Linked DNA regions of Canis lupus familiaris. The protein of the gene in region 5 purifies or fractionates together with the protein of the main gene of each other region. This does not show direct contact. Links are inferred from orthologs where the notes say so. Each region holds a gene or a part of one and is shown on either strand. Other genes may lie near its edges. The genes, in order: LARP7, C1QBP, EFTUD2, CDK9, DDX21, RPL19 and NPM1.

Evidence for each region.
Region 1: the proteins of DDX21 (region 5) and LARP7 purify together in Homo sapiens (affinity purification with mass spectrometry; 5 studies listed by BioGRID and IntAct, with this or other methods). This does not show direct contact. The link is inferred for Canis lupus familiaris from reciprocal best matches to the Homo sapiens genes DDX21 and LARP7.
Region 2: the proteins of DDX21 (region 5) and C1QBP purify together in Homo sapiens (co-immunoprecipitation; 3 studies listed by BioGRID and IntAct, with this or other methods). This does not show direct contact. The link is inferred for Canis lupus familiaris from reciprocal best matches to the Homo sapiens genes DDX21 and C1QBP.
Region 3: the proteins of DDX21 (region 5) and EFTUD2 purify together in Homo sapiens (affinity purification with mass spectrometry; 3 studies listed by BioGRID and IntAct, with this or other methods). This does not show direct contact. The link is inferred for Canis lupus familiaris from reciprocal best matches to the Homo sapiens genes DDX21 and EFTUD2.
Region 4: the proteins of DDX21 (region 5) and CDK9 purify together in Homo sapiens (affinity purification with mass spectrometry; 3 studies listed by BioGRID and IntAct, with this or other methods). This does not show direct contact. The link is inferred for Canis lupus familiaris from reciprocal best matches to the Homo sapiens genes DDX21 and CDK9.
Region 6: the proteins of DDX21 (region 5) and RPL19 purify together in Homo sapiens (affinity purification with mass spectrometry; 3 studies listed by BioGRID and IntAct, with this or other methods). This does not show direct contact. The link is inferred for Canis lupus familiaris from reciprocal best matches to the Homo sapiens genes DDX21 and RPL19.
Region 7: the proteins of DDX21 (region 5) and NPM1 purify together in Homo sapiens (affinity purification with mass spectrometry; 3 studies listed by BioGRID and IntAct, counting the BioPlex papers as one, with this or other methods). This does not show direct contact. The link is inferred for Canis lupus familiaris from reciprocal best matches to the Homo sapiens genes DDX21 and NPM1.

The regions. Positions count from the first base shown.
Region 1 is NC_049253.1:7,462,054-7,465,553, forward strand, and holds part of LARP7 (la-related protein 7), read right to left. Parts: intron 1,328-3,500; 5' UTR 1,326-1,327; coding exon 1,127-1,325; intron 678-1,126; coding exon 577-677; intron 506-576; coding exon 422-505; intron 270-421; coding exon 105-269; intron 16-104; coding exon 1-15. UniProt on the Homo sapiens protein: RNA-binding protein that specifically binds distinct small nuclear RNA (snRNAs) and regulates their processing and function.
Region 2 is NC_049226.1:31,558,774-31,563,008, reverse strand, and holds the start of C1QBP (complement component 1 Q subcomponent-binding protein, mitochondrial), read right to left. Parts: upstream 2,801-4,235; 5' UTR 2,717-2,800; coding exon 2,506-2,716; intron 1,946-2,505; coding exon 1,795-1,945; intron 1-1,794.
Region 3 is NC_049230.1:18,514,319-18,517,818, reverse strand, and holds part of EFTUD2 (116 kDa U5 small nuclear ribonucleoprotein component), read right to left. Parts: intron 3,124-3,500; coding exon 3,037-3,123; intron 2,608-3,036; coding exon 2,481-2,607; intron 2,280-2,480; coding exon 2,192-2,279; intron 1,552-2,191; coding exon 1,433-1,551; intron 1,266-1,432; coding exon 1,171-1,265; intron 674-1,170; coding exon 520-673; intron 373-519; coding exon 265-372; intron 1-264. UniProt on the Homo sapiens protein: Required for pre-mRNA splicing as component of the spliceosome, including pre-catalytic, catalytic and post-catalytic spliceosomal complexes. Component of the U5 snRNP and the U4/U6-U5 tri-snRNP complex, a building block of the spliceosome.
Region 4 is NC_049230.1:55,704,457-55,708,464, forward strand, and holds the start of CDK9 (cyclin-dependent kinase 9), read right to left. Parts: upstream 2,801-4,008; 5' UTR 2,733-2,800; coding exon 2,641-2,732; intron 2,182-2,640; coding exon 2,100-2,181; intron 1,299-2,099; coding exon 1,208-1,298; intron 862-1,207; coding exon 695-861; intron 573-694; coding exon 401-572; intron 244-400; coding exon 95-243; intron 1-94. UniProt on the Homo sapiens protein: Protein kinase involved in the regulation of transcription.
Region 5 is NC_049225.1:20,838,776-20,842,275, forward strand, and holds part of DDX21 (nucleolar RNA helicase 2), read left to right. Parts: intron 1-119; coding exon 120-265; intron 266-1,976; coding exon 1,977-2,126; intron 2,127-2,505; coding exon 2,506-2,667; intron 2,668-3,500.
Region 6 is NC_049230.1:23,125,187-23,129,371, forward strand, and holds the start of RPL19 (60S ribosomal protein L19), read right to left. Parts: upstream 2,801-4,185; 5' UTR 2,699-2,800; coding exon 2,694-2,698; intron 1,789-2,693; coding exon 1,682-1,788; intron 531-1,681; coding exon 408-530; intron 1-407.
Region 7 is NC_049225.1:41,660,374-41,664,311, forward strand, and holds the start of NPM1 (nucleophosmin), read right to left. Parts: upstream 2,801-3,938; 5' UTR 2,715-2,800; coding exon 2,657-2,714; intron 648-2,656; coding exon 568-647; intron 7-567; coding exon 1-6. UniProt on the Homo sapiens protein: Involved in diverse cellular processes such as ribosome biogenesis, centrosome duplication, protein chaperoning, histone assembly, cell proliferation, and regulation of tumor suppressors p53/TP53 and ARF.

The DNA.
Region 1 (3,500 bases), on a different chromosome or scaffold from region 5:
TGGGTTGTTGAGAAACTGAAAAATCAATAAATTAAAAACCAATTAAATTGTCACTAAAAGTACTCGCTAATTTTTTTGCTTTTCCTTTTAGGTTCTGGACCTACCTCAATAGCTTTTGCTGCTTGTTCTTTTGTTTCAAATTCCACAAAGGCAAATCCCTTTGGATCTCCAGTAGATTTATAATGTGGTATGCTTATATAAACAACATTGCCACATTTCCCAAATACTCTTTCAATCCAGCTGTGATTAACATTTTTGGGAAGTAATTCCTACAATAAATTAGAAGCAATAGTAAAGTCCTCAAGGTTAATAAATTTTTACAAGTCCTCAAGGTTAATAAATTTTTACTAGTAATATTAAAGTGTTTCTGTCAATTTTGTCTGTGATCACTATCTCTGAGCTTTTTTTTAAAATGGCTTACCACATACACTGTCCGTTCATCCTCATCCTTTGGTCGTTCCCCCAGGGGCTTTTTCCTCCGGATTCTGGTGCCTTCCAAGTCCAGCTTTTAAATGGGTACATGAGGTTAATAAACTAATAATTATGTGATAAAATAAATTGTGTAACAATTCTTACCTCTACAACAGAGGAGCTTTTTAGTGCTCTGGCTATTAATTTTCCATCTGTGGTCAATTTTTTCATTTTGTTGAAAGACACGAGAAGTGATATATCAACATCTAATAGAAATACAAAAGTTAATACATTACAGAATATAATAAAGTAACAAGCCAGGACTTCTGGATAAAATATTAATCACACTCCTAAACTAAGTTTTGGTTTTGGAGTAAATAAAATGCCTTTATGCATAAAACCCATAGGAATTAAACCTGTAAGCACATAAGAAAAACCCTGGACTTCTAGGCCCAAAGTAATGCTCAAATTGACCCTGATGTCAAGAGTCTACCTGAGTTGCCAGGAGCTCCACCACAAAAACTAGGATGTTATCAAAGTAACTGAAATCTTGGTCTGAATTTGTTGCATCCTACACTAAGTCCTTTAAGGAAATTCGTGTCCTTTATGAGGGTTTTACGTGGGAAAATAAAAGTTAATCCTGTATATAATATGTGGTGTACCATAATATATATACTACATTGTTAACATTTGTTGTACAGTAAAATAAACCTACATCCGTCTCTGGACTTTTCTATTTGCTCTCGAAGAAATCTATCTTTGTGTAGATTTGCATCTCCAAACCAGAAGTCCACTTGCTTAGCAATATCTGCCAGCACTTGTTTAACTCGTGACCGTTTCTTTTTTTCTACTTCTTTTTTCTTTTCAGTGCATTCTTCCATTGCCTTTTCTTGATTTCCACCTTCAGTTTCCATTCCTGTTCATTGAAAAAAGGTAAATTTATATAGGAAGACTTTCAGATAATTATTAGCCTTTAATTGTCCGAAAGCTTAAGAGACTGTCAGCTGGCAGAGGACAAACTTTGGGGTAACACCTAGCAATCAGTTAAGGAAATTTTCATTTGACCCATCTTCAGTCTCTTAATTGTCACTTTTCATTTTCCTTGTTTTACCTCTGAATCCTAGCTTTACTTTTTGATGCACTTTTACTGCAGGGCCAGATTATCTTCCTATATAGTATGTCTGTATTACACCAAACTACACTTTAACTTTTACACTTTTAATCCAAACTGTCAAAGTGTAAGATTAAGGGATTCAGACATTCTCCATCTCAAACTCCAAGTAAATAATTTATTCCTGATTATTTAAAAAAATTTTTTTTAAAGAACTTATTTTTCAGCAATTTATCCAAAATGTGGCTTGAATTTACAACCCTCAGGTCAAGACTCCCACGCTCTACTGGCTGAGCCAGCCAGATGCCCCTTAACTGTTTTTCTGTTTAGAAGCGGAACTTAACTGGTAAGCTATAGAAGCGGGTTTTTCTTTTCCAAGGGACCTTTCCCATCCCAGTGTTAAAACCAATCAAGTGTCATTTAGTGCTGAGTAATCCCATTTTTCACCCAAATTCTCCCTTAAACCCATTCTGTCAGGCTTCTCTTTCCACCATTCTAGTGAATTGAAACCCGTGATCTCCATGGACTACTGGAACCCCTCAGGGGCATCTGCAGTTAAACTTCCTTGAAAACCTTTTCTTCATTTGGCTTCTAGGAGAGTTTTCTTAATCTCCTTTACTGGACCATCCTAGTTAGCTCTATCTTTACTTGCTATTCAGTCCTGGGTTTCCATCTTATCTCCACACATATCCTTTCTGAGGGTCTCTGGCTTTAAGCTTTTTAGCTCCATGCTGATGTTTCACAAATCTGTATTTTCTAGAGCTGACTTCTCCCATTTGCTGCCCCCCATTCCATCACTCAATTGCTCATTTGACATCTCCACTTATTTATCTTAAGAGTTTCTCTTATGTAGAATAACAAAAACCCAACTCAAACCTATTTTTTTTGCCATGTATTCCCAACTCAGAAGACACTGATCATAACACTGCTGAGAGTAAAATTCTGAAATTCTTTTCCTAATATGCCACAACAAATCTAGGAGCATTTATGTTAGCTCTAACTTTATAAAATATATCCTAAATAAGAATACTTTCTATTTTCACAACCACCTGGTCCACACTATCATGTCTTGCCTACTCTCCTCCAAGAACACTGTAACTTGTGTTTGCTTCTACTCTTCCATTATCAATTCTCCAATCAATCATTATCTTCCATTTTCATCAATTACCATCAATTCTCCAGATAGTAACCAAAACAATCATTTAAATATGTAAATCAGAGCATGCCAATCTCTGGGACAAAATCCTCCAAAGGTTTATCATACTCGAAATCCAAAGCCCTTACTGTGGCCTGCCTGGCACTATTTGATCTGGCCTGGGGATATCTAACTACATTTCTTACAATTCTTTCCAACAGGCTCACTCCAACTATGACATACCATTCCTTAAACATGCTAAGGCCATTCCCACCCCAAGTCCTTTGCTCTTGCTGTTCTCTTCACCCTCCTCCCCACATCTGGAGGGATTACTTCACTGTTCATTCAGGTCTCTATAAATGTCACTTTCTCAAAGAGGCCTTTCACTCAATCTAAAAACATTTCTGTTCTGCCAATCCTAACCCTATCCATTCCATCTGCCACAATTTTGTATCCTTTAAAAAAAAGATTTTATTTATTTAGAGATAGAGAATATGAGAGACAGCACAAGCAAGGGGGAAGCAGGGAGTCCCATTGATAAGGGCAGGGGCCATCCCAGGACCCTGAGACCACAACCCAACCCAAAGGCAGCCACCCAGGCACCCTACCACTTTATTTCCTTGTATCCTCTTGTTGCTACCTGGAATTACAATTTTATTGTCTGTCTACCCCACTAGAATGCAAAAACTACAAAGGCAGAGACTTAAGCTTAATCACAATCCAACCATTTCTTAAATACTATATTTAAAAGGACCTCCTATTACAAAGTGTTTAGCATTTCAAGTTCTTTTGAAAGGGGGCAGGCTTAAAAAAAAAGGGTAGGATTATAAATAAAATACAAAC
Region 2 (4,235 bases), on a different chromosome or scaffold from region 5:
CCACATTGGGCTCCCTGCATGGAGCCTGCTTCTCCCTCTGCCTGTGTCTCTGCTTCTCTCTCTCCTCTCTGTGTATTCTCATGAATAAATAAATAAAATCTTAAAAAAAAAATAAAAAATAAACCCACAGGCCCCACTTTATCTCCTTGTCTCCGCCACGTGCAGACGCAGTGGGTTACTAACTGCCCCCCCACCCTGCCAACCCAGGGCTCCTGGCCACCAGCCATTCGGTGGCAGTGAGCAGCAGAGGGTGCTGGGACAGCAGGTAGCCTCTCGTAAGAACTTTACTCCATGAGATCTGCCCAGAGGGACAGGGGAAGAGAGGCACACAAGGGTGCTGCTATGAGAGGGCCAGGATAGGCCCCGGGGAGGGGGCTCCCCGTCAACACAGCTGCCAGAGCTGTTTTTAAAAATATATTTATTTGAGAGAGCACGAACAGTGGGAGGGGCAGAGGGAGAAGCAGATACCCTGCTGAGTAGAAAGCCCGACCTGGAACTCGATCCCAGGACCCTGAGATCACGACCTGAGCCAAAGACAGATGCTCAACCACTGAGCCCCCGCCCCCCCTAAATCCATTCTTTAAAATACTTGTGGGAAGTTCCATATCGTGAGGAAGCAGCCTGGAAACACCCACCTCATGACAGTCTTCCGCTACAGAACCCTCCCCTGACAAATTGTGCTCCGAGTCTGAGTGCCCAGCGCAGGTAGGTGCCAGCTCCCCCACTCCGTGGGTGTACTCGGGACCCCCCTGCCGGTGTGCTTGGAGTTGCTCCCGTACAGGGATGCTGGTGTCACATTCAGCTACAAAACCTATCTAATGTGCCGCGGTGCTGACCACACTGAGCACCTGGGCACAGAGGTGCCGCTCTATTCACTAGAACATTATATTTACTCCACTGGCTACACGTTACCCTCAGAAAATGGTTTAGGGGAAGTTATGCAGGAAAAAAAAACATGGCAAATAAAGGCAAAGAAAGAATCAGATCCCAGTTCACAACATCTCAGAACTTTACTCAAAAAAGGGATGGTGAAGAGGTGAAGCAAATGGAAAGTTCTGTACCTTTCTAACGGGGACACTAAGCACATGTGGCTTCATCCACGCACATGGGGGCCACAGGCTGGTTCTCCCCACTGTAAACGTCAAATGTCAGGGGGAGGGCCGGGTTTCCCTCGGCCAGAACCCTGCACTGCAGAGGCGGCACCCAATCCGTCAGAACTGCACAAATCTCAGTCGGGGGCACCTCTGTGGCTTGGTTGGTGAAGGGTCTGGGGTTGGCTCTGGTGGTGATCCCAGGGTCCTGGGGTCGAGCTCCAGCTCCCATAGGGCACCCTGCTCAGGAGGAGAGCCTGCTTCTCCCTCTGCCCATGTGCGTGCTCTCTCTCTCAAAAATAGGGCAGCCCTGGTGGCTCAGCAGTTTAGCGCCACCTTCAGCCGGAGGGGATCCTGGGGACCTGGGATCAAGTCCCATGTTGGGCTCCCTGCATGGAGGCTGCTTCTCCCTCTGCCTGTGTCTCTGCCTCTCTCTATGTCTCTCATGCATAAATAAAATCTTAAAAAATTATAATAATAGTAAATGAAATCTTAAGAAGACTTTCTGATATGCGTGCCTGGGTCAGGCAGGGCCTTCCTTACCAGGACATCCTTCCTTCCTTAATAAATCCACGCTCAGCCAATCTGCGTGCAGTGAATGAGGCACCTGGAAATCATGTGTCCGGGGACCTGCTCTAAGGCATCCCTGGAAGATCGGGGAGGCTGCGCCGGGTCAGAGGGACCCCCTGCAGCCCACACTTACTTTTCTCCAGCTACTTTCCGCACTAACTTGGCCTCCGTCCCATTCATGTCTAGCTCCCAGCCCCCAGACATTTTGGGGAGGGACTTGTGCTTCTGTATTTTCTTTTCCTCCTTAATCTCATCATTCAGGAACTCGACGAAAGCTTTGTCCCCTGCAATGAAAACCCATAAGATACAGAAAAAGAAAAACCAGTCAGTCTTAAACCAACAAACGACTTGGGGTGATTGCTGTGGGAAACCTGGCCTCGACCGATTCTGATGCTTGTGCTGTTACGGAGGCTCTGGGCACGGAGTCAGACCCACGGGGCCTCGGTTCCCAACCTGGAAACGGGCTGGACACCCGTGGCAGGAGGCTGAGCTCAATTCTGGAAAAATGACTTCCAGCAACGAGCCCATCACCGCATTTCACAGCGAAGCCAGGCGATTCCCGTTACCCGCCCCAGACCACACACGACCTCCCCTGCTTTTAACTCTGACCAGCCGCCTCCCCGAATCCACCTCCGAGGCTCAGGATAGAGCCGGCTGCCGGGGTTTAGAAGCATCACCGCCAGCCAGGGAGCCACCACTCTCGGGATTAAGGCAGGAAACCTCAAGCCACGTGGGATTAACCTGGAGTCGTCCACTGCAGGGGGTCGTGAGTTTGGGGCCTTGGGCCCCCGCCCCCCTGGCCGCGGCTCCCCGGACCACCGCCCCCGCCGCGCCCCAGCCTCACCCTGGGTGTGCAGCCCGCCGCAGCCGCAGCCGCAGCCGCAGGGCCCGCGGGAGCGCAGGAGGCCCGCGCGCACAGGGAGGAGCCCGAAGGGCCGCACGCACGGCCGGGGCGCGGGCCGCAGCAGGGTCGGAGGCGGCAGGGCGGGGGCGGCGCGGAGCCCGGCGACCGCCGAGCCCAGGGCGCGGGGCACTCGGCGCAGCAGCGGTAGCATCGCGGCAACGCACGTGCGGGCGCGAAGGACGAACCAGGCCCGGATCCCGGCTCGCGCGCCGCCGGAAGTCCCGCTCCTCCCCGGGAGCGCTTCCGCGCCTGTGCAGTGCCGGCCCGGGGCGTCGGGCTGGCAGCGCCCTCTGCTGGGGCCGCCGAGGTCAGCGGGGCCGCCGGCGCCGGGTCTCCCCGCGGGACCCCGAGCCCCGAGGGTAGCTCCGCTCCGGGGCCGGCCCTCTGAATTCCCGCCACCCTTACCAAGCGTGGACACCACCCCGGCGTGCACACCACCTGTGTGCACCTCCCCAGCATGCACAGCCCCGGCACGCGCACACACACGGCCCCCAGCGTGTGCCCCTCCCCCCCACCAGCGTGCACCCAGTTCCCAAGACTTTGCATTGTTCTGGGACCAGGAAGCTGGGAGGAGGAGGGAGGGGCCCAGAAAAAGAGAGCTCTTAAGGCCCCGGAGAGGTCACTTGGGGCCTCCAGCTGTTCTTGGCACCCACACCCTACTCCTAGCAGCTCCTCGAAGAACCTCCTAAGGCGGTGTCAGAATCGCAGATGCAAAAGCCTTAGTCGTTACGGATTTTAAGGAATAAAAGGGAATGCAGAACTACGTGGGCGGCCGAACCGCATCCCAGACTTCAACCTCGCGGTACAAGTCCCAGGGCTGGTCCAAGAGCAAGGCGGGTGTTCCCATCGGAGATGAGCCCAAGACCCCAGCCCGTGGCCCGGGGGAGGGGGGGGGGAGGCGCTAATCGCCCCTTCCCCTGGCCCCACCCTCACAAGGTTAAGGTCTCCCCCGGGGGGAGCAGGGGCCTCATTGCCCTGACAGGGCGCAGGTAAAGGTGTTTTCAACCTTGTACCTGAGCAACCTGATGGACGCCCCTGCGCAGGGAACACAGCTGCTCTCCCTGGATATTCATCCCTCACCCTTAATAACCTGCTCGCCTCTGCTTGACAGTCACGGCTTTGGAAGTTATTTCCTTCCTCCTCCTTTGCTGCAAATCCTTTAGTTTCCTGTGTGGGGCTGCCCCTGGGGTCGTCTCTGGTGGAGTTATTTGGAATGTCTCCGTGTGGTTTGGTTGGGTCCTGGGCATCTTGGAGCTAAGTGGTGGTTTCATTTAGCCCAGGGCCAGGAGCCTGGGGCAGAAGGCATGCAGCCACTCCAGGGCTTGGGGAAGTAAGGGTTAGGGAAGATTTAAGAGGATAGGGGCACCTGGGTGGCTCAGTGGTTGAGTGTCTGCCTGTGGCTCAGGGTGTGATCCTGGGGTCCTTGGATTGAGTCTTACATAGGGCTCCCCGCAGGGAGTCTGCTTCTCCCTCTGTGTCTCTGTCTCTCATGAATAAATAAAATCTTTTAAAAAAAATTTTTTTTAAGAGGATTTTCATACACTGAAGAAGACTCTGGAAACCTGAGGCCTGGCTGTTGTCAAACTCAGAGTCGAGGGCTTCCCAGAGGAAACTCACCCTCTGCCTCCCCCAGTACCTGTCCGAGGGCTGCAGGTTATGAGGACATGTAA
Region 3 (3,500 bases), on a different chromosome or scaffold from region 5:
AGGGGGAGGATGGTGGGAGATGGAACTTTTGCCCAGCTATTCAGGAATTGCCACTGGGGAGGAGAAGATGCTCCCTTCCCAGCCAGACTGGTCCCAGAAGGCCAGTGACCCGAGGCCTGTAAAGTTTGCACCTCTCTGCATGGTGTAGTGAACAGTTCTTTCAGTCTTTGGGAGAAAGGTCCCAAAGTTAGAAATGAAGAGAGATCCAACTCCTGCCAAGAGCCCTAGGATTGAGGGTTGACCATGGGCCTCAGGGATGCATACCTTCCTGCGACGGGTTTTGATCATGAATTCCCGGGCCAGGTGAGGAGCAGGCTGTGGCTCCAGGGGGCGAATGACAATGCTCTTGTCCAGAGGATCACCAGGTACAATCTAAAAAGTAAGGTTGTTATCGATGGTCTAGGGCTCTTCTCTAGGATGCTAGAAATCTCACTTGGGGCTTGGAAGGGGAACAGATCAGTGGAGGCTGGCCTTGAACAGGTGGGAGGCGACCTTGGCCAGTCTGCACCATTTTCTCACCTGCCAATGGTGGAAGACAGATAACGAAAAGGCCTGCCCTTGGGTGTGAGTCCGTAGATCAGTCTCAAAGCCAAAAGAGTCAATGGCGGGGATGAAAGCTTTGATTGTGTAGAGAGGGGAGCCTGGGATGGGTGCATCCTGAGTCACATGCCCCCTGCGACAAAAAAAAACAAAACCTGAGTCCCTTGTCCTACAGAGACCCAAAGCAGAGAAGAGAATCTGGCCCCAAATGTACCACAACACAGAGTGACCACCAAAGAAAGAATAACCACAATCATGCTATAGTGGGTGGAAAAGGCTTGGGGCCCTCAGTATCATTTCCTGTGGCAGTCAAAGGGGCAGTGACTGCTAGGCAAGAGTGGAAACTCTGATGGGACAAGGTCCTATAGACATTCCCCCCACTGACACACTTCAGTACTTTCCCCAGAGGCTAAGGAGAAAGGGCCCAAGAAGGAAACCTCAAATTTGTATCTGCAGTGAAGCTGGGGATTGCCTCAAATCTTTCCTACTTCCTCTGAAAAACTAGCTCACTAGGTTTTAAGGAGCAAATATAGTGTAGAAGGCTCATCTCCTTCCACACAGGAACCCAGTTACCTCTTGCTGGGCTCCTGCTCTCTGCACCCTCCCTGACGTGCCATGCTGGTGGCTCACCTGCGCCTGGCCAGGACGGTGTACACAGCAGAGACACAATCTGCAGGAGCTTGGACCTCTACAAAGTAGTATGGCTCCATCAGACGAGGAGTGGCCTGCAGTGGGGCAAGATGAAAGGTTTCCTCAGCTTGGGGAAGGCTGACGACTGAGGACCTGGGTAAAGAAAAGGCTGGAGGGACTGTAGTCTTGATGCCCCCAAAGCCTGGACCTCCTGGACCTGCACTTAATGCCCTCCTGGAGCAGGCTGGCCCTACCCACTCACCATGAGGAAGGCAGAATAGACGACTCTCCTTGCTGTGGGGATGATTTGGCCCCCACCCCGGTGCAGGGGCTCTTGGGCAACCACTGCATCCAGGATCTTAAACTTGACATTTCGAATCACTGAAACAGAGATGGGGAAACTGCTGAGTGAGGAGCAATTGAGGTGTCAAGGGCCCAAGGGCAGAGCAGCAAAGAGCCTCTAGCAGCATGGGAGCTATCTTGAGGCCACAAAAGCTATGGCACAAAATCATCCTGCAGATGGGTGTTTTGATAGGATACCATGGCCTAAAGCAGAGGACAGAAGTTAAGCACACATTCTTTGTGTTCGTTTCAGGTCATGCCCAGACATCATAAAGCTTTCCTAGTTTATGTGCATTTTCTGCAGGTATTTAATTATTTCTGGATAGAGAATAAATTCAAGGAATTGCACATTTCTTCCCACTAAATCCAATCCTGGTCTATAAACTATTCCAATACATCTTCCTCCTGATACTTCTCTTCAAACACATTTCTTCTCAGGACTGAAGAGCAAATGTCAGCCTAGAAATAACTGTATATCCAGGATGTCCCAAGCAATAGTACTAGGACAGGGAGAGAGGAGAGAGAAGAGAGGAGGCTGCCCCAGGACACAGGCTCGCCTTGTGTGCTGAGCTGCCTCTCCTGCCAGGGCCCACAGGTGAGCCTATTTCACCTCATATGCCCAGGCACAAAGAGCCTAGAAGACTGTAGCTGAGGACACAGAGGCGCTGGGGGAACTTACACTCATCACAGAGGGGCCCCTCCCTGGTTCCCCACTGGAAACCTTGAACAATGCTGTCCTTCACTGAGCCGAGAAGAGCCTTGTCCACCTGCACAGAACATGAGGGCATGTGTGAGCACACTGATCATGGAAACAACCAGAATTTAGAGGGACGAGAAGGTAGATATACTGGTAAGACGATTCACAACAAGCCACAACATACTTTTGGGGAAAGAAGTACACTTTGTAGTTTCCTCCACTCAATAGCAAAGAAAGCACCCCACATTGGCTCCCGCCAGTTCTGCTGTACCTCAGAGGGCAGGGTATCATCTACCAAGATGTTGGGGCCAGTGGCATCAGGGCCGAAAGCCCAGATGGAACGTGCAGCCAGCAGATCCCAATCGTACTTGGTCTGGAAGAATTCTCCCAATTTCTTCCTGGGGGAAGGAGGAGAAAATGGAGGTATCCTGTAGCTCTGCGATTATTACCTGCTGGGGTCACAGATTCTGCCTTCTTGGAGGACAGTTTGCTTCCCAGGACAGGTGGTATGAGAGACTCAACAAGTAGGCTATGGCAGCCGGTCTTTTTTTGTTTTAAAGATTTTATTTTTTGCGCATGTGAGAGAGAGCGAATAAGTGAGAGCATGAGCGCACACAAGAAAGCATGTGCATGTGCTCCAGAGCACAAGCAGGAGGTGGGGGGAGGGAAAGGGCAGCAGACTCCTCATTGAGCAGAGAGCCGATGTGAAACCTGATCCCAGGACCATCATGACCTGAGCCAAAAAGAGATGCTTAACCAACTGAGCCACCCAGGCACCTGGTGCCTCAACCCCTTTCAGCTTTGGAACCAGGGCCACATTCTCTCACCTGTTCCACGTGATCTGGACCACCTCATTCTCTATGTCCTCGGCAAGGCCCTTCTCAAGAGGCTCTGCAATCATGGTAATCTTGTTCCTAGTCAGAAAGGAAATGGGTAATGATGAGGATCAGCAGGACTGGCAGAAGGGGCATTCCTAAGAAAAGGCCGACAAACCAGTGTTATCAGTAAAAGTGAGAGGGCCAGAGAAGAGCAAAAAGGGTTCATCTTCTGTCTTCTTTCATTGGAATCTATCACTCTTTAAAAAAGTGAGGTCTGGGGATGCCTGGCTGGCTTAGTCAGTGGAGCATGCAGCTCTCGATCTAAGGGTCATGAATTAGAGCCCCATGTTCGGTGCAGAGATTATTTAAAAATAGAATCTTAAAAAACAAAAAACAACAAACAATAAAAAAAAGTGGAGCTGGGCAGCCCCAGTGGCCCAGCGGTTTAGCGCCGTCTTCAGCGCCTGATTCTG
Region 4 (4,008 bases), on a different chromosome or scaffold from region 5:
CTGCTATTTCACTCCCCACTCCTCCCTTGCCAGGAGGACTTCTGGATCTCTGCGTCCTGTGGGGACCAGGGGCCCAGGCAGCCTGGCCACGCACCTCAGGGGTGATGGAGCCACAGAGCTGGCTGATGAGGGCAAGCTGGTGTTGCTCGGTGTTGCCCTGCATGATAGGGCTGCGGGTCCACATCTCGGCCATGATGCACCCAGCACCCCACAGGTCAATGGGGGGGCCGTAGTCCCGCTCCCCTGGGAAGAAGAGCGCACCAGGAGGGCCCCTTGAGCCCGAGGGCCTCCTGAGACGCAATGCCCCAGGGCCGGCGGCTCAAGAAGCCCTGGCAGTGGGGGACTGAGGCCGGGTAAGTGCCCAGCCCCTGCCCCACTCCGCCCGCTCGGGAGTCCTCACCGAGCAACAGCTCCGGAGGCCGGTACCAGAGCGTCACCACACGGTTGGTATAGCGATTGGGCTGGCTGTTCTTGGCCAGGCTGAAGGCCCGGGCCAGCCCAAAGTCGGCCAGCTTCAGAACCCCATCGCGAGTGATGAGCACATTAGCTGCCTTCATGTCCCTGTGCAGGATCTGCAGGAAGCGCAAGAGGGCTCAATCAGGTTTCCAAGGGGAACCCTCAGTCGCACCCACCCAGCGGTGGGAGCCGAGGCCCACCCCAGCCCGGGTCTCTCTTACCCCATGCTGACCCCCACCTTGTTTCTGTGGATATAGTAGAGGCCGTTGAGCAACATCTGCATGACCTTCTTGATCTCAGACAGTGTGAACTTGACCAAGACATTGCTCAGCAGCCCAGCAAGATCGTGCTCGCAGAAGTCAAACACTAGGTATATACTGCCTTTGCAGCGGTTATAGGGGGAAGCTGGGAGGGAAGAATGGGGGAGGAGTAAGAAAAAGAAAGTAAAAAACCCCACGTGCAACTCATTTCCCCACACAGCTTCTACCCCTCCAGCCCGTGGACACTGGGATATTCGGCTGTGCCTTCCTTCACTGGAAAACTATTTCCTGAGTGCCTCCTCTGGGCTGGGTGCTGTGGCAGGCCCTCGAGGAGCAACAGCTACGATGGAAGGACCCAAGAGCAGTCACAGTCGGTTTGTCTGGGTTAAGAAGAGGCAATTTAGGTGTGTCCACTTCCAACTTTGCAAAGCCTTAGGCAGTAAGCCTCATTTTCCCCATCTGTAAAGGGGGGCAGGAGCCAAAGAACCTACCTTTGGTTCGACAGATCTCAATTAAGTTGACCACATTCTCGTGTTTCAGAAGCTGGAGGATCTTGATTTCCCGCAAAGCCGTAATGGGGAACTGGGTAGGAGAAAGGCAAGAGGGGGCCTGAGGTGAGCGAGTCAACTATAGACCAATGAACAGACCAATGAACAACCGTGTGGTCCAGATCAAGGGGCACAGGTGCAGCAAACGAGTAAGGTCCCGGGCTCTGACATCATTTCAGATGTCTTAGCTGTAAAATGGGTGTAAAAATAGTATGTGCCCCTCAATGAGTTGCTCTGAGACAATGAACTGAAACAGTGGGACTTAATACCTACACACTTCACTACTCGTCACTAAATAAATGTTCCACAGTTTCTTCAATATTTAAGTTTTAGCTCTATACCTGTATTTAACTTACTAGGTGGAAACAAACAGCTATTTAAGGAAATGTCCTTGCTAAGCAGGTCTCTGGGAAGCTGGACTAGGGCTACAATGAGGCAAGGGAGGGGACTGCTCCTTTTCAACTGAGTACCAGCCACTCCCTTAAAACCACCAAGTGGAATTTCTTTCCGCCTTATGCAAAATGAATGCTAAGGAAACCGTGTTTAAAGGCTTCCTAACTTCAGGAACTAAGGCACACTCTGCAGGCATGAGCTCCCCCTCCTGGCCCCAACCGTATTTACCTAAGAGTGGGATATCAAAAGCTCTAAAACATTTGAATTAAAAAATTCAATTTGGAAGCCAAATTCCCCGAATACGGAAATTGCCTAACTACCCCCCCCCCCCCAACACACAGACACACAGGTTCTCCAGACGAGAGCCCTAGCAGAAGCAGGGTGGAAACCCAACCCCGAGCCCAGGGGAGCTGGCAGGCCCGCCCACCCGGCCCATACTCACCCCCTCCTTCTCGTTCTCCATCAGCACTTTCTTCAGAGCCACCTTTTTGCCGGTCTTACGGTGCTTTGCCTTAAATACCTCCCTGCAGGCCGAGAGGGAGACCCAAGAGGTTTTATCAGGCCGTTTCTGCAGGGCCCGCCCCTCCCCCACCAGAGGAGGGGGGCAGAAAAAAGGGATTCCCCGGGCGGGGCTGGGCCGGGGACCCAGGGCACTGCCCTACCTTGCCACCCGCTATCTGCGGAGCTTCGAGCCTCTACTTCCTCCCCTCAGTCTCCTCACTCAGGCGTCTCTCGGAGAGCCCGCTCCCACCACTGGCTCCTCTCCGTAACCCCTCCCCGCCCCCCATCACAGGCCTCAGGCTCCTCCCCGCCAGCCGGCTCGGTCAGGCCCAGGCGGGCCGCAGCGCGGCCTAGCAAAACCAGGGGACACGTCTGGCGCTCATGGCCTTCCCGACCACCTCGGGCCCGGCCCTGGGCATCGTGACGTCGGATTTGAGCGGTGCAGGCCCAGAGCGCCTGGTCCCCCGGGGGCGCAGCCTTACCCGAAGGTGCCTTGGCCGATCTTAGCGAGCTTCTCATATTTGGACACCTCATCACAAAAGGGACACTCCACCGAGTCGTACTGCTTTGCCATGGCCGCCTCCAGCGCGCCGCCGCCGCCGCCCCCAGCCGCCGCCGCCGCCGCTGCTCCCGCTCCGGGTCCCGCCGCCGTGCTCCAGGCCCCTCCGCGGCCGCGCCACTTCCGCCTCCACGGCCACTTCCGGCCTCGCGGCGCCGACCCCGCCTCTTCCGTCCGCCGCCCGCCGCCAGGCCCCCTGGGACTTGTAGTTCCCGGGAGGCCAGGAGCAGCCGGAGCTGCAGAGGCGCCTCCGCCGCCGCCGCTGCCCCCGCCTCCGCCGCCGCCACTGTTGGCGGCTGCCCCGATCGGGGGCGCGGGGAGCCGGGGCGCCGGGGCTGGGGCTCGGGGCGGTGCGTCCCGCTGCATCGGCCCGGGCCGCCGCTGCTGCCGGAGCCGCTGCCGCTCTGGCGCCCGATCCGGGGCCAGCCGCAGTGCCCTGCTCCTCCTCCTCCGACGGCGCCGCCTCCGCCGGGCTGCGCGGGGCGGCGAGCGGGGGGGTGGCCCCCGAGCCGCGGCCTGGGGTCTCCCTGGCCGGGCCCGGGCCCGGGGCGGCCGGGCAAGGGGGCGAGATGGGAAGAGCCGACGAGGAGGTGGCCCGAGAGCCCGGGAGGGGGCGCGTTATAAAGGGGGAGGTGCCCTGGCCTCGCCCTCCCCTCCCCCTCCGCCCGCCCCCCTCCCTCCTCCCTCCCACCCTCCGCGGCCGCACCTGCCGCCGCCGCCGCCGCCGCCGCCGCCGCCGCCGCCGCCGCCGCCCGCTGTCCGCCGGCCGCCCTCGGCGCGTCACCGCCCGCGGCCCCTCCTCCGCCTTCGGAGGTGGGGCCCCGAGCTCGACACCTGGCTGCGGAGCGCTTTGTCGCGTGCCTCAGTTTACCCCCCCATGCTAGCTGCCGCGGAGAGCCCTCTCCCCGGCTCGGAGTGCCCCTCCGCTGGGAAAGGCGGGAGGCGCCGAGGGAGCGGCCTCCGGTCCTGGGAGGAGAGAACGGCCCCCGCCGCCGCCTCCCCAGGCCCCAGCCGCCCGCCGTTGACATGGCAACCGACGGCCGCTAGGGGGCGCGGCGACACTGGAGACGGCGAGCGAGCAACGCCCGGGCCTTCCTGCCCTGGACCCCCAATTTTCTGGGAGGAAGGGATGAGACCCGCGGGAGCCCTATGCCCACCCAGCTGCGTCCGAGCGGGTCAGTCCCGGGTCAGTAATCACAAAAATGGCTAGCATTTGCTCAGAACTCCTGTGTGTTCAGGAATCGCTGGGCATTCCTGCTGAATCCTGCTGAATCCTCAATCAGGCGCCCCA
Region 5 (3,500 bases):
GCCTGGCTTGGCCTCACATTGTTGCTGTAGCATGCTGTTGGACCCTGGAAGAACTGGGTGATGTGGAGTACTGTGTAGGCTTATTTGGGTTATTCATACTGACTTTTTTTCCCCCAAAGATTCAGAAGACAATCCCCAAACATTGCTTTTTTCTGCAACTTGCCCTCATTGGGTATATAATGTTGCTAAGAAATACATGAAATCTACATATGAACAGGTGGACCTGATTGGTAAAAAGACCCAGAAAACGGCAATAACCGTGGAGGTAAATGATTCATTCAGCTGCTAGAATTAGTAAAAAATTGTATGTCGTGTTTTCCCTGTCTGATTAAGACTGGTAAATATACACTTTTTATGGATAAATACTAAATCCATGATCCATGTGAAGGGCCAAGTAAAGATCTATTTTTATTTGAGTTGTATAGTATCTGTGTTTTCTAAATTTCATTATCTGGTAGTCTGATTTCAAAATCTTTTGGAATCTCTGTCTGAATTATGTAAGTCGGAAGAAGTTATGCCTAGAATTTAAATACTTTGAGAGCAGCAGAGGAATCTAGTACTTTGTGTTGAAGCCATTTTCATGTTAGGTTCTAGCACATAGAATTCCTTTTACCAAGAAACAGACCTGCAGGCTGACTAATTGCATTTTTAAGTGGGTGAAAGGATGAAACATTCAGAAATTTTTCTCTTGTCAGTTCCTTGGTGTCCTGTAGGAATGAAGAGATGATGTTTCTTTTTCTTCATTTTCCTGGTTGGTTCAGAAAATAGAGGAACGAGGGATGCCTGGGTGGCTCAGTGGGTTGAGCATCCGACTCTTTTTTTTTTTAATATTTAATTTATTTATTCATGAGGGACACAGAGGGAGAGGTAGGCTCCATGCAGGGGTCCCAAATGCAGGACTCCATCCCTGGACTCCAGAATCACACCCTGAGCTGAAGGCAGGCGCTTAACCTCTGAGCCATCCAGGCTATCCAGGTGTCTGGAGCATCCAACTCTTGATCTTGTCTTGGGTTAAATCTCAAAGTTGTGGGTTCAGGCCCTGCATTGGGCTCCATGCTGGGCATTTTAAAAAACAAAAGAAAGCAGGAAGGAGAGAAGGAAGAAGGGAGAGAGGGAGGGAGGGAGGAAAGAAGGAAATCGAGGAACCAGAGAAAGGGGAACAATAGCTCCCTACTTTTTTTTTTTTTTAAGATTTATTTTTTAAATATTTTATTTATGTATGATAGAGAGGGAGAGAGAGGCAGAGACACAGGAAGAGGGAGAAGCAGGCTCCATCTAGGGAGCCCAGCATGGGACTCGATCCCGGGTCTCCAGGATCCCGCCCCTGGCTGAAGGTGGCACTAAACTGCTGAGCCACTGGGGCTGCCCAAGATTTGTTTATTTTAGAGAGAGGAAGCATGTGTGGGGGCGGGAAGGGGGCACAGAGGGAGAGAGAGTCTTAAGCAGACTTCACACTGAGTACTGAGCTAGATGTGGAGCTTGATCTCACAATCCTGAGATCATGACCTGAGCTAAAACCGAGAATTGGACTATTAACCAGTTGTGCCACCTAGGTGTCCCACAACTTTTTAAAAGACTTATTAGGGACACCTGGGTGGCTTAGCAATTGAGCATCTGCCTTTGGCTCAGGGCGTGATCCCGGGGTCCTGGAATCAGGTCCTACATTGGGCTTGTGTGGGGAGTCTGCTTCTCCCTCTGCCTGTGTCTCTCTGCACACCTTCTCCCCCCCCCCCCGTCTCTCTCTTTCCATCACTCATGCATAAATAAAATTTAAAAAGGCTTATTAATTTGAGAGAGAGAGACAGCTCTCTGCTTTAATGGTTTAGGTTTGTTTTTTTTTTCTCTACACAGCGGTGGCAGTGGTCTGCTCTAGTTAGGCTTAAACAATTGCTTCTAACACTAGTAGTTTTGAGCAGATGATTTCAGGTTTCAGGTAGGTTTTACTAAATACATCTTTTTTTTTTCCCTCTCATAAGCACCTGGCTATCAAGTGCCACTGGACTCAAAGGGCAGCAGTTATTGGGGATGTGATCCGAGTATATAGTGGTTTTCATGGGCGTACCATTATCTTCTGCGAAACCAAGAAAGAAGCCCAGGAGTTGTCACAGAATGTGTCCATAAGGCAGGTTGGTCCTTGCCCTCCCTTTCCTATAGGGAGGGAGCCTCTTCCAACTGATAGACCCCGTTTCCCTGTGAGAGCTCCCCTGATCTGTCAGTCTCCTCTCACAGATGAGGGAAGGGTGACCCAAACCCGAGGCTATCCTGATGCAGTAGGTTTGATCACTCTTGTCTGGTGATCTTTACCCAGTAAGTATAGCTGGACATTGATTTAATGACCAAGGAGTAAGAAAAAATTTGAGATTTATCGATGTAAGGCACATAGTTTTCCCTCTGCTTTATTTTCAGTGGGAGTATCACAAAATAGAAATGTCTTTACAGGTCTTATGGGTGATATGAAAAGTACCTGTATTGTTGGTATCTTAAGCCAGTTTATTTCTTTGGCAGGATGCCCAGTCATTGCATGGAGATATTCCTCAGAAGCAGAGAGAAATCACTCTGAAAGGTTTTAGAAATGGTGATTTTGGAGTTTTGGTTGCAACTAATGTTGCTGCTCGTGGGTTAGACATCCCTGAGGTTGATCTGGTGATACAGAGTTCTCCACCAAAGGTAAGTATTCTATATTATGTTTCATCTTATTGTTTGTTTTGACTACTAAAACAAATGGGAAGTTGTATTGTTTACTTCCTGTGGTTAGTAATAAGTATCTCTTGAGTGCTGGGAATGCTACATGTGATTTTAAAAACAAACCTCTTCTGAGGTCCTTCCTTCAGAACTGAGTGGAAGTGTGGTCAGTGTCCAGAGGTTGGGAGGATTATTTCTGGTTGGAGGGAGATTTGATAAGCTCATGTAGGTAGGATAACTGCGAAGTGGACTTTGAAGATTGGGGGGACTGAGGCAGGGTCAGGGTGGGATAAACTCATGAGCTAGAGGATATAGAAAAGATAGTCTCTGTGTTTAAAATTGCTTGGGTTTGAGGGTGATGGGAATGTCTTAGGGAGGGCCTGAAGCATAGGTTATGTGGTGTGGACAGTGCTTCATGTGAATAAAAGTTGGTATAAAAGATCTTGTTCTGTTCCCGTTGCTTCAAATGTGAGGACCCCCACAAATTGGCAGATCCTTCAGGATTAGAAGGTTGTTTATAATGATAGAAAAAATACCTGATTACTATGAAGGCACCAGCTCTTTAAAGGGTCCTGTAGAACTGTGCTGTCCAATACGATGGCCACAGCCATGTGTAGCTGTCAAGCACTGGAAGTAGTCTGAATCAACACGTGTACTCTAGGTATAAAATAAACATTGGATTTTTAAAAATAAGGGGATCCCTGGGTGGCTCAGCGGTTTGGTGCCTGCCTTTGGCCCAGGGCACGATCCTGGAGTCCCGGGATCGAGTCCCGCATCGGGCTCCCGGCATGGAGCCTGCTTCTCCCTCTGCCTGTGTC
Region 6 (4,185 bases), on a different chromosome or scaffold from region 5:
AACAAGGCAATTACTCCCTTGAGTAATGTGTGCTCTACAGGGCATATGCAAAGGCAGTATGGTTAGCTGGAGGGGGCTTTAAAGGGGGTGTGACCTTCGTCTCCCTAAATCATCCTAACCCTAGAAAATGCTTTTAGGATTTACTGAATAACATTTTCAAGTACCCAGAAGAATCCGTGGCATAGTGTAGTTGATCAATAAATGTGACCTCTTTCTACCAACACCTTCAAATCCAACACTAGTGTCAACTTTCTGATTTGTACAGAGAAAACACAGCAGGTATCATGGAGTTAAGAAAAGGACTCGAGGGGAGACAAAATGGAAGTGAAAAAGATCCTGGATATAACCCAGTCTAGACTCAGGCAACTCTAATTTAAGTCTCAGAGAAAAGGGAAGAACACACTTACCAATGCCCATATGCCTGCCCTTCCGGCGGGCCAGAGTGTTTTTCCGGCACCGAGCTCGGGAATGGACAGTCACAGGCTTCCGGATTATCAGCCCATCTTTGATCAGTTTTCGTATCTGCTGACCTGGGAAAACAATGTAGCTAGTCAGTGAACTGGCCCCCCAAATACCAGTCACAACCCAGAGTCCAAACAGGACAGTGCAGACATCGCTTACATTCCTGGCCCAGTGGTCTCAAAATGATACAAATACTGGAACTTTCTGTTTATTTCTCTTTTGTAAAAAAAACAAAAAAACTGCACTTTTGTTCTATTTTTTTCTAAATGTTTTACAGCACACTCAAATTATATGTATTTGGGGATATGTGATCAACAGTGTACAGATACGGCCTGGTCCTTCAGATCCAGACTCCCCTATTAGCTACTGGGCTAAGACAAGATTAGGATATTCTGAACACATGTCACAATGCCATAAATTCAAACTGGTTAAGAAATTCCCTGGTACTGACCAACATTCTTTGCTTGACCAAACTTTCATCAGGGTCCTGGAACCACTTCCCAGGCCCGCCTGTGCACTTCCTTATAAATTCTGCATTTTGTAAGGTCATTGTTTAAGTCCATTTAAGCAGATAACCTTGAAACAAGATCAGGTTCTTCATCCACCAGCATTGCCCAGGTGAGGTCAGATCCCCCTGGCCTGTCTTTAGCAACAACCACTCCCTTACCATTAGAGTTTCCTCTTACTAATCTTCCACCCGCTGACACTCGTACCACTCTCCTTGGCCAAAACTTTCTACTTGGCTGTGCTATGTTCAGACTTGATTGCAACTTTCATCCCCCACTGTAAAATCCCACTGTAGCGGTCCCTACACTTGCAGCAATGGTCCTAAATAAAGCCTATCTTTAACGAAGATCACTGAACATATTTTTCTTTAACAGTACTACATGGAAGTAACAGGGCTATGTTGCTATCTGCATGACTGACACCTCTTTATCTCTGGCACCCTCATTTTTGAAGACTCCAGACTATGAGCTTTCCACAGTTTGTCAACAAAACCATGACATCTTGGGACACCTGGGTAGCTCAGTGGTTGAGCCTCTGCTTTTGGTTCTGGTTGTGATCTCAGGGTCCTAGGTCCCTCACTGGGCTCCCTGCAGGGAGCCTGCTTCTCCCTTTGCCTGTCTCTCATGAATAAATAAAATATTTTTAAAAAAATTGTGACAGCTTTCATTTCATGAAGGATGAGAGGAGCAGAGTGAAGATCCCAAGAACTCACGGGAGTTTGCATTGGCGATTTCATTGGTCTCATTGGGGTCCAACCAGACCTTCTTTTTGCCACAGCGGAGGACACTGGAGGCAAGCCTCTTCTGAAGCCTGAGCATACTGTGACAAACAGAAAACCTGATCAAGCCCCTGGAAGCCATTCCCTGGCAAAACCTGCCTTCCAATCTTTTAACGTCCTGAGGATAGGACACGGGAGGTGGATGTGTACAGGCATTCAGTATTTAAGACAACATCCCTCCCTCCACCCCCATATTAAGAAATCTTTCCCATAGCAAGATTTTTGGGCAGTGCATTCCTGCAGGGGCAACTGGCCGCCCTGGAACGAACACATAGACCAAGCTATGCCTTAACTCCTCTGCCTCGGTTTTCTCCTCTGGGAAAGGAAGTTTATGGATAAAAGTGGGATGAAGAGGGGGCTTATGCTCTTTCTGGTAATGAGCTCTGGAACAGGCGTTTAAGAACCCGAGGCTGGAGGGTCTGATTTGCTCGTCTAGCCCTTGGGTTAGTTTCCCTTGGGCCTGTTTCCCTCGTCTTATCACACTAATAAACTTACGTCCCGCTAGCCTAAGAGTTTTCTTATGAATCGCCCACGGGGTGGAAGGCATCGCCTCACTCTTAAGTAGTCTGAGGCCCGAGGCCTGGACGAGACCTGTCCTACGTCACATGGAAGCAGAGCTCGGCCCGATCCCGGGCGCCCAACGAGTAAGGGGGCCACAGCCTAGTCGCTGCGGCGGCCCTTCCACTGTCCCGGCAAGCCGCTCGCAACCCACACGGGGTGCGAGGCCCACCCTTCCCGCGGCCTAGCGTTCTCGGGAAGCACCCCCCACCCCCACCCCCCGCCGGCCGAGGCCGGGGCCTAGTGCGCTCGGGCCAGCCCCAAGCTCCGGGACCGGCTGCTTCAGGGCTGTCTCCACTTCATCTCTCCCACCCGGGGCCAGGGGAGCAAACCACGCCGCCCGCCGACACTTAGGATCAACCAAAATCAGGGCCCCGCGCGCCCTCACCTCATGGCTGCGGCCGCAGCGCCGAAAGGAAAGAACTCCCCCTGGCCGGGCTCCTCCCACTATCTGCGAGGGGGAGAGCCCATCCCCTGTTCCGCTTGAGCCCCTACTCCCCGCCGGTCCTCTCATCCTCTGACACTCTAAACTCAATCCTATCCTCTGTGAAGACCGAGACAGCAGAATCTAGTTTCGGGAGTCGGTTTTAAACTTAAAAACACAGAAAATGTATCCTTTCGGTGAGGCAAAGTGGTATAGTCCGACTTCCTAATAGGCATGCGCAGCAAGGGGGCCGGTCACGTGGGTACTGGAAGCCGGAAGTCACGGCTGGATGCCGCAGGCGGGACGTAGTTCTGCTAGAGCGGCCTATTTGCAGGCGTTCTGGGTTCTTTGGAATGATGTTTTCTTAGCGAAAAAAAAAAAAAATAGTGGAGTGAGAGAAGATAACGAGGGGAGATATCAGTCAAGAGCAACCTTTTATTCATTCTTCCAGTACATTGGGAAACCCCTGCAGCACAGGATAGATCACCAAAGATATATATATGTACATATGTGTATATATGTATATATGTGTATATATATGTATATATATATATTTTAAAGATTTTACTTGTTCATGAGAGACACACAGAGAGAGAGAGGCAGAGACACAGGCAGAGGGAGAAGCAGGCTCAGTGTGGAGAGCCCAATGTGGAACTCGATCCCAGGACCATGGGATCACGACCTGAGCCACACAGGCGCCCACCAAAGATATTTGTGTTTTTGCGCCACTCTGGTCCTTAATCTTATGGCGATTCAGTTTGTTCCTTTGTAAAGTGTACCTAATCCTCATATTTCTGTAATCCGTCGTGAAAACCACATGTATTAACTTGCAAAAGAGAGCATTAAGACAAGCTTCTAGGTGACAGGAACCAGTCTCGTTGGGCTCACATGGAGCTTTGCATATATAATAAACACTTGAGAAATAGTGCATTGGCCGAGTAAATGAATAGCTGTCAAAGTTAAACAAAACAAAAAGATGGAATGACAGGGTCATCCATAGTTCTTTTCTCCTACTCTGAAACACCCAATGCAAAAACCCAAAGAGAATATTCTAGGGTTCAAGAGACTTAGATCTGAGTTCTGGGTCTAACTCTGCTTGGCTCTAGCTGAGCACCCATCTCTATCATCTGAACTTTCTTGGGGGCTAAATGCAGCTGAGGAAAGAGAGGAAGGGAAGCAAAACTTGCCACTTTTTCAAAACTACAGTTAGTGTGATCCTCATTTTATAGCTGAGAGAGGTGGCAAAAGTTGAAATTCCAGGTCTTTCTGACTTCAATATCTATGACTTCTCTGTCGTACCAAGCTTTCTTGTGCCCAAGGGACAGATCAAAACCCTGCTCAGTATTGGATCTGTTCATAGAACAATGCTGATGTGCTTTATTCTTACTCTCCCTCAATGTGATCAGAGAAACAGCTTAAGCTGCCCATCCATTTGTAGAACCCAGGGTGAGGAAAA
Region 7 (3,938 bases), about 21 Mb from region 5:
ACTGACCTGTGAACAAAAATACTTTAAGTTCCTATTTTACAATCCCCCCAAAATTTGCCTTCTAAGAAAAAACTAAGCAATTATAAACCTATTATTACCACTAACAGAAAACTTATCGGTGCACAATGTCATCTTCAAGTTTTAGGTTGCCTTGCCAACCAATTTTTCATTTGAACAAACGCAGCAAATATATTTAATGGCATAGTTTTATCTGCTACCCACAGAATGGACCACCTAACATCTACTGTCCACCTATTCTAAGTTAGGCAGTAAGGCTGCAGGCCCCACTATGGAGGACAAAAAAATAAAATTTATCACTGCCCTAAAGGGCTTTTTCTAATGCAGCCAGAGAGGCAAAATACACAAATATGGAAAGTTGAACAGTAGTGTGACTCAACTTCACATTACCAAATGAAAAGTAAAGATGCCAAGTTTTATAGTACAGGTACAAGATCATGTATTTATAACACTCAGTTATAAACAATACTACTATGAAAATGTTAAGTCACACAAATAGGAATAGGAATCAAGAAAGGTCAAGTAGTTTATTTTGGAAAGTTTCAGTACCGTTCTTAAAGATAACTGGTGCTCATTTTCATCATTATCCACCTTAAAGTGGTAATCTTTGTCAGCCTTTAGTTCACAACCTGTAAATCAAGGGAAAAAAGCAACAGAGAAAAATGACACTGAAACTTAAGTGAGGATAACCGAAAGGTAACAGTTAATTTGTGACCAAGTTTCCCACTATTCTAGCTATCAGTAGGCAATGCAGAGGTAGCTCTTCCTGGATTTCTTGAACAGCAATGTCTAGAAACATCACGTAACATTTATACAGGGCTTTATAAATTCCACTTTCCAACTATACTATTTCATTTTCAACCACACTCTAGTTGTTTTTAGATAGAAACAAGCTCAAAGATCTAGTAAATCTGGATCTGGCAGTATCTGAAACGAAGTCTAATGTACAATATCGATAAACTTTAAAAAGGACTAATCACCTACCTACGAAAGAGAAGTGACCAATTTAGAAACGAGAATGGTTACACAAACACCTACAAGAACAGCCTGTATTCACAGGACATAAACTACAGATGTAAAAGACCCAAAACTTGCTAGAGGGGTCAATATTCCACCTTTGAAGTTAACAGAAATGATGTTCATTATGCTTAGAAATTATGTTTAAGAATAGATATATCCTAGGGATATTTCCCGTAGAAAAGATTAACACAAAAATACAGTATAAATTGACCAGAAACCCTAGCAATTCAAAAGGACTAGGAATAAAAGCCGTAACATATGGTGTAAGTTACCCACTCCCATCCCATCAATAGGCAAGTTGTTTCAAGTACCATCAGAATAACCTTTTAATTAAAGGACTCCATTTAATTGCCCTCTAACAGTTACTGGTACATAGATGTCTAAATGTTACCTCAATTAACAAATCTCAGCATGGTATATAAAGAAACGTGGGGGCAGGATTTGCACTTACTTCAAAGTCTGACAAAGATAGGGCTTCTGACAATTTCACTAAGATTGAAAACCAAAGCTGGCCTCTCTACTATGTATGTAACTGCTTTCTGGAGAGGGGAGGGGAAGATTCCAAAAACAGTACCAGCTCTTACTGAACCCCACACAAATTCCTCATCTTTTCAAAAAAGCTGTTTGCTCAAGGCCACAAGAAGGCTGTTTCCCCCAGCCTCCCTCCAAAAATCAACGCACCAGTTCTAGAGGCAAGGAAGGGTCTTGGTTTAGATCTACCCACTATTTACCTACAAGTACAAGCCCTCGTTAAGCCTCAAGCCTTCAGTTCTGAGCATCAGTCATGTGCAAAGTGGGCTGGTTCGATCTTTTTAACAAGTGCTCTATAAATGAGAACTGCCATCACGGATGTTAAGGACTGAACAAAGACTTACAGAATCTTGGCTCTACCAGCCTCTTCACTTAAGATTTCCCGCCCAACAGCTTCAATTAAGCCCCAGGATGCCACGCTCCGTGGTGACAAGCCACCGGGGAGACCCGGATGTAGTGCCCACACCCCCTCCTTCCCCCAACCACGTGGCAACCACGTGCTCCCAGCGGTTGCGGCCTCCTCACGCCCGGCCGCGCCTCCCCTCCCCCCGCAACGGGCCGAGGCACCGGGGCTGAAACTCGGCCCTGAAGCTCCGCACTCTTGAGGCCTAGGGACAACGCGAGGCTCTAAATACCCTTTCCCCCAGAAAGGAAGCCCACGGCCCACACCGCGGACTCCCTCAACCTCCAGGACCAAGCCGGGGCCCTGCATCAAAGACGCCGGCCAAGAATCCCAAGCCTGTACGAAACCACGCAGCTCAAGAGAAAATCAAGCCCGTGGCTCTACCGCGTGCCCCCAAGCAAAGCCGAACCCTCAGCCGGTCGGTTCTACGTTACCTCAGGCCCTGGGCCTGGGATCGTTCCTGCCCAAGGCTTCAGGCCGCCCCTCCTTTCACCGCTTCGTGCTCCTCTCTGGACCTCCCATCCCTTACGGGGCAGGGCCTCGGCGGCTCTCCTCCCTCCCTCGGGCCTCCAGCTTGCCTGGCTTACCCTCCCAGCCCAGGCCTCAGTGGGATTCCCGCCCCCCCACCCCCACCTCAAAGCCACCAGGCCCTGCCCGGCCTCACCCCACCCCCCCTGCACTTACCAAAAAGATAGTTCTGGGGCCGCAGGGGGCTCATGTCCATGTCCATCGAATCTTCCATGGGGCGGTGGCACGCACTTAGGTGGGAGAGAAGGCGGACGGAGACACACGACTACTGTTCCTCAGAACAGCCGCGCAGGACGGAATCACAGCAGGGAAAGGACGCGGGCTCCCTGCGCACATATATAGCACCGCGAAGATCTCGCGAGAGCTTTCCAAGTCCCGTCTCCGCGCGCGTGCTCGGGAGCCCCCCTCCCCTGACGGTCGCCCTCCCGCGCAAGCGCTCTTCAACTCCACTCCTTTCTACCTCGCCCCCCACCTCCTCCAGGTACTTCGCGGGCTCCCATGGAGCACGCGCACTCGTACCCCGGCCCCACCCCTCCGCCGCCGCCGCCGCCGCTGTGCGCACGCGCGCTCTCCCCTGGTGGCGCGCGCTGCCCCCCTCCCACCCTTCCACGTCCTCTCCCGCTCCCACCCGCCGGCCCAGCGCCTGGAGCCTGCGCTGCCCACCCTGCAAAATGGCGGCGGCAGCCCTTGGCGGTGCTAGGTATGGAGGGCGAGCCGGTTGTAAGAGAGCCAGAGAGCTCGGTTCACCGTTCCCCATCACTTCGTGCCTCTCAGGCCTCCAGGCAGGCAGAGCCACCTCGGGATTTTGACTCACCCGAAGGCTTGGGTTCAGAGTTCATTGTTTCCTCAAAGTTAAAGCTTCAGGTGCCAGAGACCCTGGATAACCGAGTATTCCTTGTTGGGGAGAAAAGATGTGGCTGCTGTCCCGACTTATTCAACTGCTTTTATAGCCCTTTCCTTGCTGAGTAAACATCTCTGAAGTTGAAATCCCTCATCTTTTTGTCATCTGGGGGCCTAAGGGGGACTGAGTGAGCCTCTTCCAAATGAGCAGGGCAGGCACCAAGCCTGGTTGATCTCTCCAGACGCGAGATTTTAAAAGGGCCACGTACCCGCAGTACTTCCCCGTGTAAGATCCCGTGAGGCAGATGTGAGTATCCCTTGTTTGGAGACGAGGAAACGGGCCAAGCGTCCAAATGAATGAAGCTATAGGACAGGATGCTCTAGCTCAAAGTCCAATGCTAACATCCCTCTAAGAGTTTGGAGGGATATGCCTGGGTCCGGTTTCAGATAGATAGATAGATAGATAGATATAGATATATATATATATATATATATAATTTGTGTGTGTGTGTGTGAGTTAATTCATGAGAGATACAAAGAGAGGCAGAGACAGGCAGGGGGAGAAGCAGGCTCCCTGAGGGGAGCCTGATGCAGGACT